4 linked regions of the Saccharomyces cerevisiae S288C genome follow. Changing the gene in region 4 together with the main gene of any one other region gives a genetic interaction. Each region holds a gene or a part of one and is shown on either strand. Other genes may lie near its edges. The genes, in order: DAN1, PCL2, BUD6 and CDC42.

What was found.
Region 1: mutations in CDC42 (region 4) and DAN1 together harm fitness more than expected from each alone (negative genetic interaction), as found in Saccharomyces cerevisiae (2 studies listed by BioGRID).
Region 2: mutations in CDC42 (region 4) and PCL2 are lethal when combined (synthetic lethality), as found in Saccharomyces cerevisiae (2 studies listed by BioGRID, with this or other methods).
Region 3: mutations in CDC42 (region 4) and BUD6 are lethal when combined (synthetic lethality), as found in Saccharomyces cerevisiae (2 studies listed by BioGRID, with this or other methods).

Annotation. Positions count from the first base shown.
Region 1 is NC_001142.9:708,036-711,783, forward strand, and holds DAN1 (Dan1p), read right to left. Parts: upstream 1,673-3,748; coding exon 776-1,672; downstream 1-775. Other genes in the region: YJR149W (putative nitronate monooxygenase), read left to right, coding at 1-339. UniProt on the Saccharomyces cerevisiae protein: Component of the cell wall.
Region 2 is NC_001136.10:233,004-236,560, reverse strand, and holds PCL2 (cyclin PCL2), read right to left. Parts: upstream 1,635-3,557; coding exon 708-1,634; downstream 1-707. Other genes in the region: AAA family ATPase CDC48, read left to right, coding at 1-404; VCX1 (Vcx1p), read right to left, coding at 2,674-3,557. UniProt on the Saccharomyces cerevisiae protein: G1/S-specific cyclin partner of the cyclin-dependent kinase (CDK) PHO85. Essential for the control of the cell cycle at the G1/S (start) transition. Together with cyclin PCL1, positively controls degradation of sphingoid long chain base kinase LCB4.
Region 3 is NC_001144.5:768,580-773,720, forward strand, and holds BUD6 (formin-mediated actin nucleation enhancer), read right to left. Parts: upstream 3,106-5,141; coding exon 739-3,105; downstream 1-738. Other genes in the region: EST2 (telomerase reverse transcriptase), read left to right, coding at 1-617; MMS22 (Mms22p), read left to right, coding at 3,361-5,141.
Region 4 is NC_001144.5:603,383-606,381, forward strand, and holds CDC42 (Rho family GTPase CDC42), read right to left. Parts: upstream 1,406-2,999; coding exon 830-1,405; downstream 1-829. Other genes in the region: BNA5 (kynureninase), read right to left, coding at 2,376-2,999. UniProt on the Saccharomyces cerevisiae protein: Involved in development of cell polarity during the cell division cycle, and essential for bud emergence. Affects signaling in the pheromone-response pathway through the STE20 protein kinase.

The sequences.
Region 1 (3,748 bases), on a different chromosome or scaffold from region 4:
GGGACTGCTTTTCTTGGTTGCAGTGAATCCAATGCATCAAAAAACTTTTCAAGCCCCTTCACTCGAGAAACAACAACTAAAATGGTTAATATAATATCAGGAAAGCCTGCAAGGACCATCTCTACTCCTTTTATCGAAAAAGTCATTGCTAATTTTCAAGGTGAGGAGCTTCCTCCATATGGCTACATGTATAGTGCTTTCAAGCAAGTAAGAAAAAAGTATCCAGAATTGGCTAACTTTATTTTAGCTGGACAAGGATTTCAGAATGTCCAATCAGGAATCACAACAGACAAGAAAATTGAAACTATGGGCGCAAGATTGAAAATTGACGGAAAATAATATAAATACATATAAAAGACCTGATACTTATTGACACAAATTTTCTGGATGACCTTTTTCTATATGATATATATACGTCGCTATTGGATCGTAGGTTACTTGGCCATTATTTGAGCGTAACCGTTCACAGGATGTGGGCTTTAAGGAATACAAAATCCAAATATGGAAAAAATTTGATATCAATTTAGGGCTTTAATATCTAAAGGTATTTATTTTTTTCACAGTTTTTTTTCTGTTAAGCTGTCTGCAATAAGGAATGCTCCTGACATGAAATTCGAAAAGGACCGGAAATAGTTGGAGCACAAGACTGCAAACTAAAAAACAAATTTCTTTGGAATTTCCTTACGCTTATAGTATATATCTTATAAATATTAAAATTAAGAGAATTCAATTATTTTACATCATTTATACAACTGTACAGGGCCGCACATGATCACTATAACAATAGAGCGGCGGCACCAGCAATAGCAGCGGCACCGAAAACACCGTTATTGAACTTGTTAGCACCGTTAGTGGTAACGTCAATAACACGAGATGCTGACGATGTGACAGAAGTAGCTGTAGATTGAGCTTTGGAGGAGACTGGCTTAGTCACAGTTGAACAGACGTTATTTGAACAACTAGTTATGGTAGTTTCAACAGTGGAAGCTTGAGTCTTTGTGACGGTGCTGTCAGTACCATTTTGGACCACTGGAGTGACTGAGATAGAAGATGTAGAAGAAACTGGAGCTGTGGTATTGGCAAAACTAGCAGAGCTTGCAACAGAGCTTGCAACAGAGCTTGCAACAGAACTTTCAGCAGAACTTGCAATGGTGCTTGCAGCAGAGCTAGATTCAGATGAAACAGTAGCTTGGGTGGAAGCAGCGTTTGAGCTGGTCTCTGCTGAACTTTCAGAGGAGCTAGAAGACTCAGTGGCGGCACTAGAAGCTTCTGAAGTGGAGGTGGAAGAAGCCTCTGTGGTAGAAGCTGGTACTGCAGTAGCAATACCTTCATTCGCAAGTGCTTCGGAAATAGCACCCATCAATCTAGTAGAGTACCATGGCACACCGGTGATCATTCTGGTCACTTCATCACCTGAAATACCAGTCAACATGGTGGTGAAATCGCCACCGGCAAAAACAGCCTTGGCAATTTCAGGTGGGTATGTTTCAGTCTTATGCAAAGCCTGGAAAGCGTAATATTCAGATAAATGGGCGCCAATATCAGAAACGTAAACAGCCAATTCAATCAAATTGACCCTTTCATCATAAGGGGATAGAGTGGTGGTCACGGATGCGGCGGTTGCACTTGCCACTAATGCTGCGGCGACAGCTAATATACTAATTCTAGACATTACTTGGGGTATATATTTAGTATGCTACACTTTTATCTGAAAAAGAAGAAATAGTACCGTGTCGACATAAAAATAGTATCATTTAGTCGTGCTATTTTATACGCAGTATTTTCAATCATTTCTATTCAATGAGTACCCAGGGACCCTTTTGCATTTCTAGCATTCTCTGTTCCTGAACGATGTTTTGTTAGAGGCCTCGTATAGATCTTGGCATTTTCAAAGGCACGCGTTGTATTGTTTTATTGCCTATCAAAGGAACGCGCAGGAAACATGAAACTTTTCAGAGGAGCGTCTACGGAGGATACATTCATCAATTTTTCCTCATAAATTAAACGATGTGTACAAAAAGGACGAATTGACCCCGTCGTTCGGCGAAACCTTATGTATTTTCCTGGCCATATGTGCTAAACGACAGATAAAATAGGAAATTCTCCCCATTTTCGACTAATAAGATAAGCGGGAGATAGCATCATATGAACTTTTGCACTCAAACGAAGAAAGCACGTGAGGATTGAAGAAAACGGATCGCCGAATCCAGCGTGAATTGAGCTCAACAATTTTTAACTATATCAATCTCTTTCACTTTAAACACTACCACTTAAATCTTTTTAAAACGCTTTGCCCAATGACCCTTTTTTTATTAAGGTTGCTGAGCTATTTTTTCTATACTATTGTCAAACTCCAAAGATATTTTGAGCTTTATTTTCTTGCAAACAAAATACCCTACTGCTTAATAAATGCAATGTATACATAGTTTTCAAGGTACATTATATTTTAAAGTTACCTCAGGCCTGTTTGCCCTTGCATTCTACAGTCCCTTTGTAAGGGTGTGAGACAAAAGGCCTCGTTAGCTACGACTGTTGAAATCGTTTGAATTCGGCTTACAATCTAACTTTGACTGCGCAATTGTTCATGAATTTATAGTGTGCTTGCGAGGGGCAACTTCATACGAAGGCTTGTAGGACCCCTAAGTGCATCCATAAACATGCTCAAAGATTGTCTTAGAAACCACAAGGAGAACGCACAGTATGAATTAAATAAGTTGCGCTCTGCTAGAATATTTTGACGATTACAAAGTCAGAGATCGAAACATTTCCGCTGTGCAACTAAGTAATTTTCCCAATCTTTGGAGAAAATCAATAATCACAAGATTAGTACTTATCCTCTTGTAGGCTTCTCTCTTTCGCTATAAATAGAGCAGAAAAATATGATACAGAAGGTCGAAAGTTTGCTTCGCTGACTGAAGCTTTCTGTCAAGAGTTGACAAAAACATACAAGATTCAGTATTGATAATAAATGGCCTGCACTTAAGACTCAACCATCCCAATAAGTTACCTAGTTGTGTTACCTAAGCTAGGAAAATACACATTGAAAGATGTTTTACAAAGTATTGTAAAGGTACAATGCATTCTAGGCCGAATGTTCATTTCGGATTGTAATATGTAGTCAACGATAACGAACCTCATGGTTATGGTTATTTCTGTTCCAAATTTGCAAAATAGATCTTCATTGTCGTTGTCGGAACGGGTGGTTTATAATTTTAGTAACCATAGTAACTGAATAAAGTGACCAAACAGTATACTTCATAGCTCCAGGCTAGGAAACAAGATACTACTGCGAAACTAGCGGAAGAAGTTACGTTAAAGATCTATTAATTCAATGTTAATTCAAATTTAATATACGTAGGGATGCGAGTTATTACATTGGAAATATAGCAAATCACTGAAATACCATCATTTTGAATACATTCGTCATCGCCGCATCAGTTATACGTTTCTGCTATACCGTATAAGAATACTTGCTTCTATTCTTAGTTATACTGAATTTTAGACATTAATAAACTACTAACGGTTGCTACTACACTACACTATTCTTCTACCAATGTCGATGAGAGCGAACTCTTCAGAAAGCAGTTTACTTGAATAAATTTTTTCAAAGGCCCTCATTTCTAATGCCTTGTGACCTAGAATTTAGCAGCGTCAACTTTATGGAGCGTTATTTCTCAATTCCATCTTTGTGCCGCGTAGTTCTATCTTACATAACTTTATTTTAAGAAGAGCTTTAGTTCATGTTCTT
Region 2 (3,557 bases), on a different chromosome or scaffold from region 4:
AGAGGGCTGCTAAATACGCTATCAAGGATTCTATCGAAGCTCACAGACAACACGAAGCTGAAAAGGAAGTGAAAGTAGAAGGTGAAGACGTGGAAATGACAGATGAGGGAGCAAAGGCTGAACAAGAACCAGAAGTAGATCCTGTTCCATATATTACAAAGGAGCATTTCGCAGAAGCTATGAAGACCGCTAAACGTTCTGTTTCAGATGCTGAATTGCGTCGTTATGAAGCATACTCACAGCAAATGAAAGCATCTAGAGGTCAATTCAGTAATTTCAACTTTAATGACGCTCCATTAGGTACTACGGCTACGGACAATGCTAACAGTAATAATAGTGCTCCAAGTGGAGCAGGTGCTGCATTTGGTTCTAATGCGGAGGAAGATGATGATTTGTATAGTTAGTTATATGCCAGGTATATTTTTATTTTAAATCGTAAATTCAAGTCATTTCTATAAAAAAAATCGTCAATTTTAACTCAATATTTTATGGCCCTTTTTATATTTATTTTCAAATTTGTCAAAAAAAGGAGAGCTAAATCATTAGAAAAAGAATGCATTATGGTATATTTATGTATATTAATATGTAAAATAAGAAAAAAGGGAGGCTGTAGGACCTCGGTCGTAAGAACATTTACCTGTGTTCTTCCGCCTTTTCCGAAAGTGCCATGAAGAAACGCAGGCCAGGCATAATTTCGACATTTAAAATCACGATTTGAAGTAATTTGACCAATTCGATTTCTTTACTTTTGTATCTTCTTTTATTATCTGTTTGTTTAACCCAGTTTTCAAGATCACAGGGCGCGCTTTACTAAAATTAAAAGGCTTAATTGTCGGTATTGGCCTATTTTCCTTGTTATCGTGTTTGGAGTCTATGTTGTATGTTCGCGGAGAAAACTTGTCGCTAATGTTATTGGATTCGTGTAGTTCGGGCAAAGTTCGTATTCTGTTACTATAATTGGATAAATTCGATCTTCTAGATTCCAACGTGGAGAGGGTCGAAGTGGAAGCTAAAGATGGGATAGACATATTGGACGATGAGCGCGAATGGGAAATGGATGTTTTGTTTACTATGTCTTTTTCTTGAGCAGAAAAATTTTTCAACGTGCGACAGTCTCTTTGCGATTTGTACAACTGCTCCTCTTTGATAGGCTTCAAGAATGGCGAGAGACATGTAATTAAATCATCTGTGGAAATGGTGACGTCCCAATCAAAATATTCTAATAGTTCCCTTTCAATAGTATTAACCTCCCTTAGGATGAGAAGGCCGTCCGTATATTCGGCCCAGTGTTTGTTAAGAGGGGAGGAATCATTTAACGTTTTTGCAGCTAATATTAGGCAACCTAAGAATATTCTATGCCTGGTGGTCTCTATACCATAAACGTTACTCGGTATTATTGATCTTAATTTGGCCAAATATACAGAGGTAGCCATCAGAGTCGGAGTTTGAACGTTAGAATGCTTGATCAGTCTGTTGATGAATTTAGTCAACGGTGGTGCTGGCAATGCAATATCTATCATACTATTCGTCTTCTTAATTTTGATAATGGAAGCTGTGGTCGATGCTAGATATTGCACCATTTCCTTAGATACAGCCTTCCTATTGAATTTCAGCAAGGCTTCGTAGTTTGACATCTTTTGTAGTAAAAAGTTGCTGCCGTATTGAAATTGCTCTTGTCGGATCAGGTTGTTTAGCACCGGGTCTTACTTTTATAAAGGAGAATTATAAAGTGAAAGAAAGGAGAACTTATAAGACTAAAGAAAAAAACACTTAAGAAGCACTTAAACTTGCATTAGATGTGTAAATCGATCAACCTGTAACATGTTTGAGGAAGGTCTCACACGTCTCCGAAGTTACAGCTACCACTTAGCGTGTCTGCGGGAACAATAGATCTCTTCCCAATTTGCACTAAATAGGTAACTAGCCAGGCCTATAAAAATCTTCGAGCGGAGAATTGACCGTAGTATCTGCCAAAAAAATCCACCTGCACCAGCATTTTTCGTGTTACGCGAAGTCTACTTTTCGCGTCATCAAAAGACGCTATAAAAATATAGCTGGGCTAATTTTATTCTATAGCTGGCCATTTTTTTATGCGATATCTGCTGGTTTTTTACAGCTGGAATGCCGTGACAGATGTAACAAGAATGTGTTTCAGCTGGCATTCTCACTCAGAAATGTAAGGCTAAAATCCGCTAAAATAGGGCTTCGCGTCTCATGATCTATTCACATTTGTTTCTAATAAACTATACTACAAAACGAAATTCTGTTGTGCAATGATGTAGGAAGCTCCATGAATTTGAGCAAAATTCCTAAATATTCTCGTTGTAATGAATAACGTTACCCTGAACAGTGCAGCAAAGCAGCTGATGTGCTGCAAGAAGAACACGAGCTGTAGTTGAGAAGCTTCGAAATATTAAACCTTTTATCAGAATGGAAATGGTGCAGAATTTGAGTTTCGAAGAGTGTACAAAATATTTTGTTGGTTTTGAAAACTTTTTTTCAGATAAAATTCGATATAAAAATTAGTTGCGTAAACATAATATGTATAATATAACGATCATAATAATGACTTGCTAGTCATAATCATCTTTGTATTGGTCCATCGATAGAATTACGAAGAAGATAAAATATAAAAAAAAAGAGAATGGTGAATTTCTGCGCTACTGTTCTTACTCATAAACTATTTCCAATAGAGTCAAGGGTTTTTTCGTCTGGATAATAGAAAAATGCCATTGCAATCAAAATATACATAGCTAGAGACATGACACCCTCCAACCAGTTTGACTCACCATCGAGAATTAAGTAATTGGATAAGAAAACAGCAATAAAAAGAGTAGCGGTTTCAAAAGTGGAGAAATTTAGCGTCATTGGAACATCGATCATCCAGCCCACAAGAACCATGAATGGTGTAACAAATAAGGCAACTTGTAAAGAGGAACCGATGGCAACACCTAGCGCCAGATCCATCTTATCCTTCATGGCCACCAAGACTGAAGTGACATGCTCTGCGGCATTACCCACAATAGGAATGACAATCAAACCTATAAATGTTTTAGATAGCCCGGTAGATTCAACAACGTTGTCTATCGTACCGACTAGAAAATCCGCACAAAAAGAGATGATCACAGTTGTACCTAGAAGTATCACCAATGATGACTTGACACTCAAAGAGTGATGTGGATTCCTGGAAATGGTGCTCATAACTTCATCGGTCTCTTCTTCTTGTTGCTCAAACAAGGCGTGATGGCTCCCTAGCTGGAAATATAAGAACAAAACGTAAACGATGAGAATAACAATAGAGGTGCCTCTGGATAACTCCAATATTTTTCCATCGATGAAGTGGTCTTCCTTGCCATGAGGTAGGGTGGCTCTAAAGGCAGCGGGAATCAGTAGGGATGCACACGCAATGGCAAGTAATGAGGACATTGTTTGAGCGGCGGTTTGGTTGAATGTCTGTTGGACTCTATTGTATCCACCGAATATGAAGCATAATCCAAGCACTAACAGCAAATTAGAAAGAAGACTACCTAGCATCGAGGCCTGCACAATTCTCACTT
Region 3 (5,141 bases), 170 kb from region 4:
AGCAAGTGATCAATATCAAAAAGCTTGCCATGGGCGGATTTCAAAAATATAATGCGAAAGCCAATAGAGACAAAATTTTAGCCGTAAGCTCCCAATCAGATGATGATACGGTTATTCAATTTTGTGCAATGCACATATTTGTTAAAGAATTGGAAGTTTGGAAACATTCAAGCACAATGAATAATTTCCATATCCGTTCGAAATCTAGTAAAGGGATATTTCGAAGTTTAATAGCGCTGTTTAACACTAGAATCTCTTATAAAACAATTGACACAAATTTAAATTCAACAAACACCGTTCTCATGCAAATTGATCATGTTGTAAAGAACATTTCGGAATGTTATAAATCTGCTTTTAAGGATCTATCAATTAATGTTACGCAAAATATGCAATTTCATTCGTTCTTACAACGCATCATTGAAATGACAGTCAGCGGTTGTCCAATTACGAAATGTGATCCTTTAATCGAGTATGAGGTACGATTCACCATATTGAATGGATTTTTGGAAAGCCTATCTTCAAACACATCAAAATTTAAAGATAATATCATTCTTTTGAGAAAGGAAATTCAACACTTGCAAGCATATATATATATATATATACATATAGTTAATTAGTACTAATAATACATGAAATACTGACAGCTTATGATGCTGATAAGGAAAATATTGCCGCAAACTTTGTAATAAGCCAAAAGCACTAATCTCTTTTCCGTTAGCTTTCATAAAATTAGTGTATTTAAGTAAACCCCGGCCCAAAATATGCTCTCAAATTTGCTTCATCCTTCTGCTTTCTTATCCTTTCTACTTCTTCAAAGCCTCCCGATTTTTTCAGGTTTGAATTACCCACAAAATTTTCCAGTTCATCATCAAATTCATTACTAGCTTTAAGTTTTCTTTCCATCTCCCACATCTTCTCAGCCTTGTCAATAGCTTCGACCCTACTATCGTGGTCAGGGTTTAAAGATTGGACGGCCACCATAACTTGCTCCCTTACCTGATTAAATGTGCCCGGTCTCATAATAGGCAAAATAGGATTACTTTTTGATCTCGAAGGGTTTTTTTCTTGTTCTTCACAACATAACTTAATAAGATCGAAAGTTTCTAATGCCTTACCCAAGTCTTCCTTCAAATCTAAAATCAACTCTTCCTGCAACGTGAGAAACTGTTGTTCTTCACAGACCTTATCGAGCTCAGCTTCCCAAGTTTTTTTCCAATGTGGTTTTTCAGTATCAATAAACTCCTGTAGTTTAAGTACATCTGCTTGGGCATTTTCTAAATCCTTGGATACGGTTTCTAGCTTCTTTTTAGCGGGCTGAGACCTACGCTCAGCAACGTCTTTCCTCATAATTTCGATTACATCTTGCAAATCATCTACTTTACTTAGCAGAGTATCGGATAAATCACCGAGTTCGGTCTGTGATTTTTCCATGTACATTCTGTTGGAAGAGTTTTTGGCAGAAAATGATAAAGACTTAAAGTTATCGACCTTTCGTAAAATGTTGAAAATAGTCTCATTAATATTTGACCTATTAATATTATGCACTTGTTTTATTTTCCCCAATTCGTACTGAATATCTTTGATCGTTTTATCATCATCTTTTTTGTTTTGCCCCACAAGATCGTGTTTGTTAGCTTCAAGGCCAGGTTGTGGTAAAACTTCCGTTTGCTTGCCGCTAATTGCAGAACCAAAACTCATTTCTTTTAAATGTCTTATTATATCATTCTGACTATTCGATATCTCCATCTTAACTGTGTCAATGAATTCCTTGATCGTATTATTTGGATTCTCTTCGAGCTTTAGCTCGATAACAAACCCTTCTTTAATATCGAGAAGATTTAGTTCCTCTAATTCATAGAATACTCCATATTGAGGATCCATAATATATATGTCTGGGAAGGAATTTGCTCCAGGAGAATACGCAAAGCGCTCAATAAATAGGAGCCTTAATGCGTTTTTTGTAGTAGGCAGTTGCACATGACACTTCTTTGTTTTGTCTCCTATCCTTAAAAATACTGGACAAGTTCCATTCATGGCTTTATCTGGCGAAGTTGTAACAACGCTTGATAATCTTCGTGGAGATGCACGAACATTCTCAATAGGCAATGGCGTTTTCGCCAATGGACTCGCCTTTGATACATCGTCAATGCTTTTACCCTTATTTTCAGCTGAATTAATGTTTCTATCATCATCATTGTTGTTATTTCCGTATAACTTTGACTTTCTTACGGTTTCCTCTAGATGCAACATCGAGGGTGAAGGAGTTGTCATGAGGCCGGCAGCCGCAGCAGCTTCTGTTGTAGACTGATTTGTCAATTTAGCCATATGGTAGGCAGAGTATCTCTTTGAGGCTCTCCTTTGTAAATTAGTTCCCTTCTTCAATTGTGAAAGTGCATCATCATCATCAGATGCGTTTGGAGCATTGTTAGATTTAAGGTTTTGTTTAATATTAGTTCTTGGTTTTGTCAATGTTGCCTCTGCTGACTGAGCAGAGGGTGTTCCCGTAGAAGTAGAATTCACTTTTTCCCCATAGCTGTTTTCGACTGAATCGCTTTGCCTCTGATCACGTACAATACTGCTTTTTCTGCTACTTAATGGAGTCCCCTCACGGGTCCCTTCACTACCCAATGAAAGGTTACTAGTAAAGGAAGGGTTTTGTTGATGATGTGATTTTACACTTATCCGATGCTCTTGCTGCATATTCTTCAAAATTGCTTGTTTAACCTTTAGTTTGTCTAAAAGTGTCACTATAATCTCTCTGATTTTTGGCAGATGTTTATTTAAAGTTTCATCAGATGGTGGTTCCCTCAATGTCACTTCCAATACACGTCTTAAAGCCATTGGCACATCACCAACATCTGACATGTCAACTTTCGCATGCATGAAGAATTTCGATACGACTTTGAAGTCATTGCCCAACTGAACGTATGCATCAGATACTAATCTTCCAGAGGTTGTCCCCTTAGACCATTGTGTTAAGACCTGGAGGAGGTGCTTGGTGGACATCAGCAACTTTGTTACTGTCGTTTCAATACTACTACTGCTAGAAGCAGTTCTTTTAATCTTTGGGGTGCCATACGTAGGGTCATCCACGGCCATCTTCATCTAATTTTAAAATAATACGAGGATTACTACACCAATTTGGCAGCCAGCTTCTACTCTTTTTCCCTTTTCTTGGGTTTGTTTTGATGCCATTATCTCAAGAATGCATAATAGTAGGATAAAATTCGTTCAGCTCGGCTAGCGAGATATCTTCAAAGAGTAAAGCGCATCTGCGTGTAAAATTAAATTCAAGAAGTGAAAGAATAAAAGATAGGATTGTAGATTTGAAGTTTAGTGGTAGCGTCAGCAGATAAGCTTATGGATGTTGATGAACCGAATCCTATTGTGATATCAGATTCTGAGGCCACTGATGAGGAAATTAGTATCATATACGAACCCGAATTCAATGAAAATTATTTATGGGCAGAGGAAAACGTCCAAGAAGCAAGCAGATCACAGAAAATTGTCACTGAGAGGTTGAGCCTGGATTCCACTGCTGGAGAATCTTGTACTCCTTCCGTAGTAACTGATACACAAGTTACTACGGGGCTTCGGTGGTCTTTGAGGAAGAGGAAGGCTATTCAAAAGATGCCATACAGTTTAGAACGCATAAAGCATAGGCAGTTGCTAGAGGGCTATGATATCTCTAGTTTTGACAGCATTTCGAATCAGTTGACCTTACCGAAGAACGCTTCTACAGTGATTCACTCAAATGATATTTTACTTACAAAGAGAACTGGTAAACCCTTAGATGAGCAGAAAGATGTTACAATCGACTCCATTAAACCCGAAAACAGCTCGGTTCAATCTCAAAGATATGATAGTGATGAAGAAATACCAAAGAAAAGGCATCGTACTTTTAAAGACCTCGACCAGGATATAGTATTTCAATCAGGTGATTCTACGGAAGATGAACAAGACTTGGCTAGTACAAATTTACAGAATACTCAAAATGACGAAGTAATATTTAGAGGAAGAGTATTGAATGTAAGAACTGGTTACCGTGGGGTCCTGCCAAGAGTTGCTTGGGAAAAGTCGTTGCAAAAGCAGCAGTCTTCAAAAGTCACGAAAAGAAAAACTCAATTATTGAACCATAAGGGTGTGGCTAAGAGGAAAATGAACAGAAGCGCCCATATTGAAGATGAAGAACAGAACTTATTGAACGATCTTATTGCACCTGATGACGAACTGGATATCGAGGAAAACGCCCCTCCAGATATATACTTAGGAAATCTTCCAGAGGATCGTGAGGCTAACGAAAAGGAATTAAAGGAATTGCAAGAATATTATGAGAGCAAGTATAGTGAAGACGCACAATCGGCTGGAACTTCTGGTTTTAATTTAAATGAGGAATACCGCAATGAACCAGTGTATGAGCTGGAATATGACGGACCGGGGAGCTGCATATCACATGTGTCTTATAAAGACCAGCCTATTATTTATTTGAATTCACGGCATTCAGATAGCGGATTTAGTGAGCAATACAATATATCTGCCGAAGATAATCAAAGTGTAATTTCCCTAGATGCTGCTGAAGAGCATAACGATGGTATAATTGACAAGATGTTGGTTAAACCTAAAAGAATTAAAGCAACCAATGATGCCAACTTTTTGAATACAAAAAGTAAGAGAGTGAGAAGATATAAGTACAAATATCGAAATTCTTGTCTGGCCCCAAGTACAAAAGCTATCAAAGTCGGAAAACGGTCAGCGCATAAATCTCATTTGGCAGCTAATAATCCAGTTTCATTTGTTTCTAAGAAGAATCATGTAATTGATGATTATTTTTTTGAAGAATTAGAATCTCAATCCCTAGAACAGGATGACAGCTCTTCTCTCAAGCCACAGAAAAAAAGAAGGAAGAAGAAAGCACCTATATACTCAAGTTTCTCCGCTGATCTTGAATCGAGACGAAAACCAGTTTTCAATACTGTTGTAGAGGTTCCCACGAACCGATACGCTTTCACAAAGCCAAATGTACGTAATAGGGACAGCATTAATCATGACATGGAATTTGAGGAAGAAGACTCCAATCAAGAGCTTGGACCAATAATGGTCGTACTTGACTCAATTTTACTAAAAAAACCTTTTGAGCCACC
Region 4 (2,999 bases):
TACATTTAGGCCTAGCTATATATGCTACTATGTATCATTCAGTGAAATGGCTGAGGTTATATAAAATACTGGGAGGTCGTTTTTACGCTAAAGCAGACCTTGCGGATCTTTTCCTGTAGAATATATTTGTAGCATAAGTCCAATTTTACGGGCGCATTTTCAAAATCAAGGTGATATTGACATATTTTGAAGAGCACCCAATGGGCTAGCTGCAAGAACAAAGAGACCAGAAAGCCTAGAATTAAATGCCAGAAAAATGGAAATTTATTCTAGACAAAAATTGTTCGGCACCTCTACAGACGTTTAACGAACCTGGTCCGGCCTTTGAGGCGATCAAAAAAAGGCCCATTTTTGTGTTCCGCGTAATTGGTTTGCGCCTTTCCATGGAGCTTGGTGGGCGACATTCTCAAACTGGTTTCCTGATACATCATGCACGCCCGTAAAGGGTTTAAGTATTGATTGCTAGCCTGAATGTTTCATATGCATACCGTGTCTATGCAACGAATATATTTCAGAAAAAAGCACGAAAGCCAAATTTTTGATGTTAAGAGGTGTTTTTGCCCGTAAACGGAGAAGACGTGGTAGGACTCGCAAATGTCGCGTTTAGCGTTGAAGAACATGGAAGTATTGAACGTTTGGGGCTTGACGGCTCGACTTTTTTGCACTACTCCGCCTTGAACAGACGGATGATCCTGGCGCAAGAAACAAAGAGAATCAACTCTGAGCAAAGCGAAAAAATGAAATACAACGATAATAAAAGGATAGGAAGGTGTATATATAAGTTAATTTTAGATATAGATTAAGAAAAGATGGGCATATACTAATATGACTACAAAATTGCACATTTTTTACTTTTCTTGATAACAGGAGGCTCCAAGGCGGCCACGATAGCTTCATCGAATACATTCTTCAAACCGCGTTGTGTTAGTGCCGAACACTCGACATATTTTACTGCTTTCAGTTCTCTTGCTAACCTGGAACCTTGTTCTGATGTAATCGGACGTAATCTTTGTCTTTGCAACTTCTCGATGATTACCTTGTCATCCCTTAGATCAATCTGCGTACCGACGACCAGGCATGGTACACCTGGACAATGGTGATGTACTTCAGGGAACCATTTTTCTTTAACGTTTTCAAAAGAGGGTGGGGAAATAACACTGAAACAAACCAAAAATACATCAGTAGAAGGATATGACAAGGGTCTCAATCGATCGTAATCTTCTTGACCGGCCGTATCAAACAAACCTAACGTATATGGTTCATCACCAATCATCACAGTCACCGCATAGTTATCGAACACTGTTGGAACATAGTCGGCTGGAAATTGATTCGTTGTATAGGAGATTAGAAGGCACGTTTTCCCAACAGCACCATCACCGACAACAACACACTTTAGCGTTTGCATTTTGTGGAAGAGCTAATACGTTTATTTCTTGTTTTATAAGTTTTGCTTCTCTAATTCGTTTGTTAACCTATCTCCTCAGGAAAATAGAATAGTATAATAAATAACGAATATAATTTTTTGCGACAAAGGAAACCTATTGCAAAAAGTGAAGAATGACAGAGAAGGATAATCAGTATATCTCGGTACACCTGGAACCTATTTATCAAAACGCTGCTCTTGCCTTTTCCAAGAATCGCGTCTATCATCGATCAATCAACCTTGTTTGCTTTTTTTTATCACTTTTTCCCGTATCTTGTTTCATTTGGAAGGGCCCAATGGAAGCAGTATTACCCGTATTGAATGACCCTTGAATCGACGGTGGAAGACATCTTTAATGCGATGTTTAGAAGACAATGTGCCGTATTTACCTGTATATGTGGATTATCTAACAGTCTACAATACAAAATTAGGTGTAACGTAGCTACAACAGTTGATAGAAATAATGCAACTTTTTTTAAAAAAAAAAGAGAAAGTGCTCGAGGTGGGGATTGAACCCACGACGGTCGCGTTGCTTTTAAAGGCCTGTTTGAAAGGTCTTTGGCACAGAAACTTCGGAAACCGAATGTTGCTATAAGCACGAAGCTCTAACCACTGAGCTACACGAGCATTTTCGAAAGAGACGTAAATTAAATTGTTATTTATACCGTAGATGATTGTTTTTCACGAAATTACCCTTTTGAGTTCCGGCTTGTTTCGTTCAACAGTACTACCACTGATAAGTTAGCTTCATTATTGGAAGAAGGTTGATAAATGAAAGAAGATTCACGACTATGCACGGCAACTGGTAAGTAATACACGGGCCCAGATATTTATTTTAATTCTTGGAAAGAAAGTATAAATTTATAGGTTCGCTATCAGTAAGTATACGAATTTCAAACTACGTCATATATAATATCCAAAAGAAGATGAAGGCGATGCGGTCACTCTAGGACTACAACTTATCCATCGCCTCATTTAGTGCATTCACCGCAATGTATACATCTGAAAATGTATTATATAAGGGAGCAGGAGCCAATCTAATTACGTTTGGTCTTCTTGCATCGCCAATGACACCATGGTCATGCAAATATTGGAAAACTTTGGGCATAATATCCTCTTTTCCAGTGTCAGAATCGAAGTAAAGTGACAATTGGGCGCCATGTTCTTCATCTGTGCTTGTTGGAGTTAATATTGTAAAAAAACATGGTAATTTCTCGATCCTTAAAGGGTGTTTGTAATACTTGGAGGCTTCCAACAGTTCCGTCATATAGTTCGTCAGCAACAACGATCTTTTACGAACTTCATTAATACCATTAAACTTCGCAAATAATTCCAATGAACTTCTCAATGCCACTGTGTCAATAACGCTTGGATTAGATTGCCTGAATCCCAATGCTCCTGGAATCGGCTCGAATACTTCCAGCATTTGAAATCGCTTAGCAGGATCATTGCCCCACCAACCAGCTAATCTTGGCAAACTTTCCTTAGCAGGGTCTGGTTTAGTATGCTTCGAGTGGACAAATAAGCCACCAATTCCACCAGGCCCGGCATTCAAGTACTTGTAAGAACACCAACA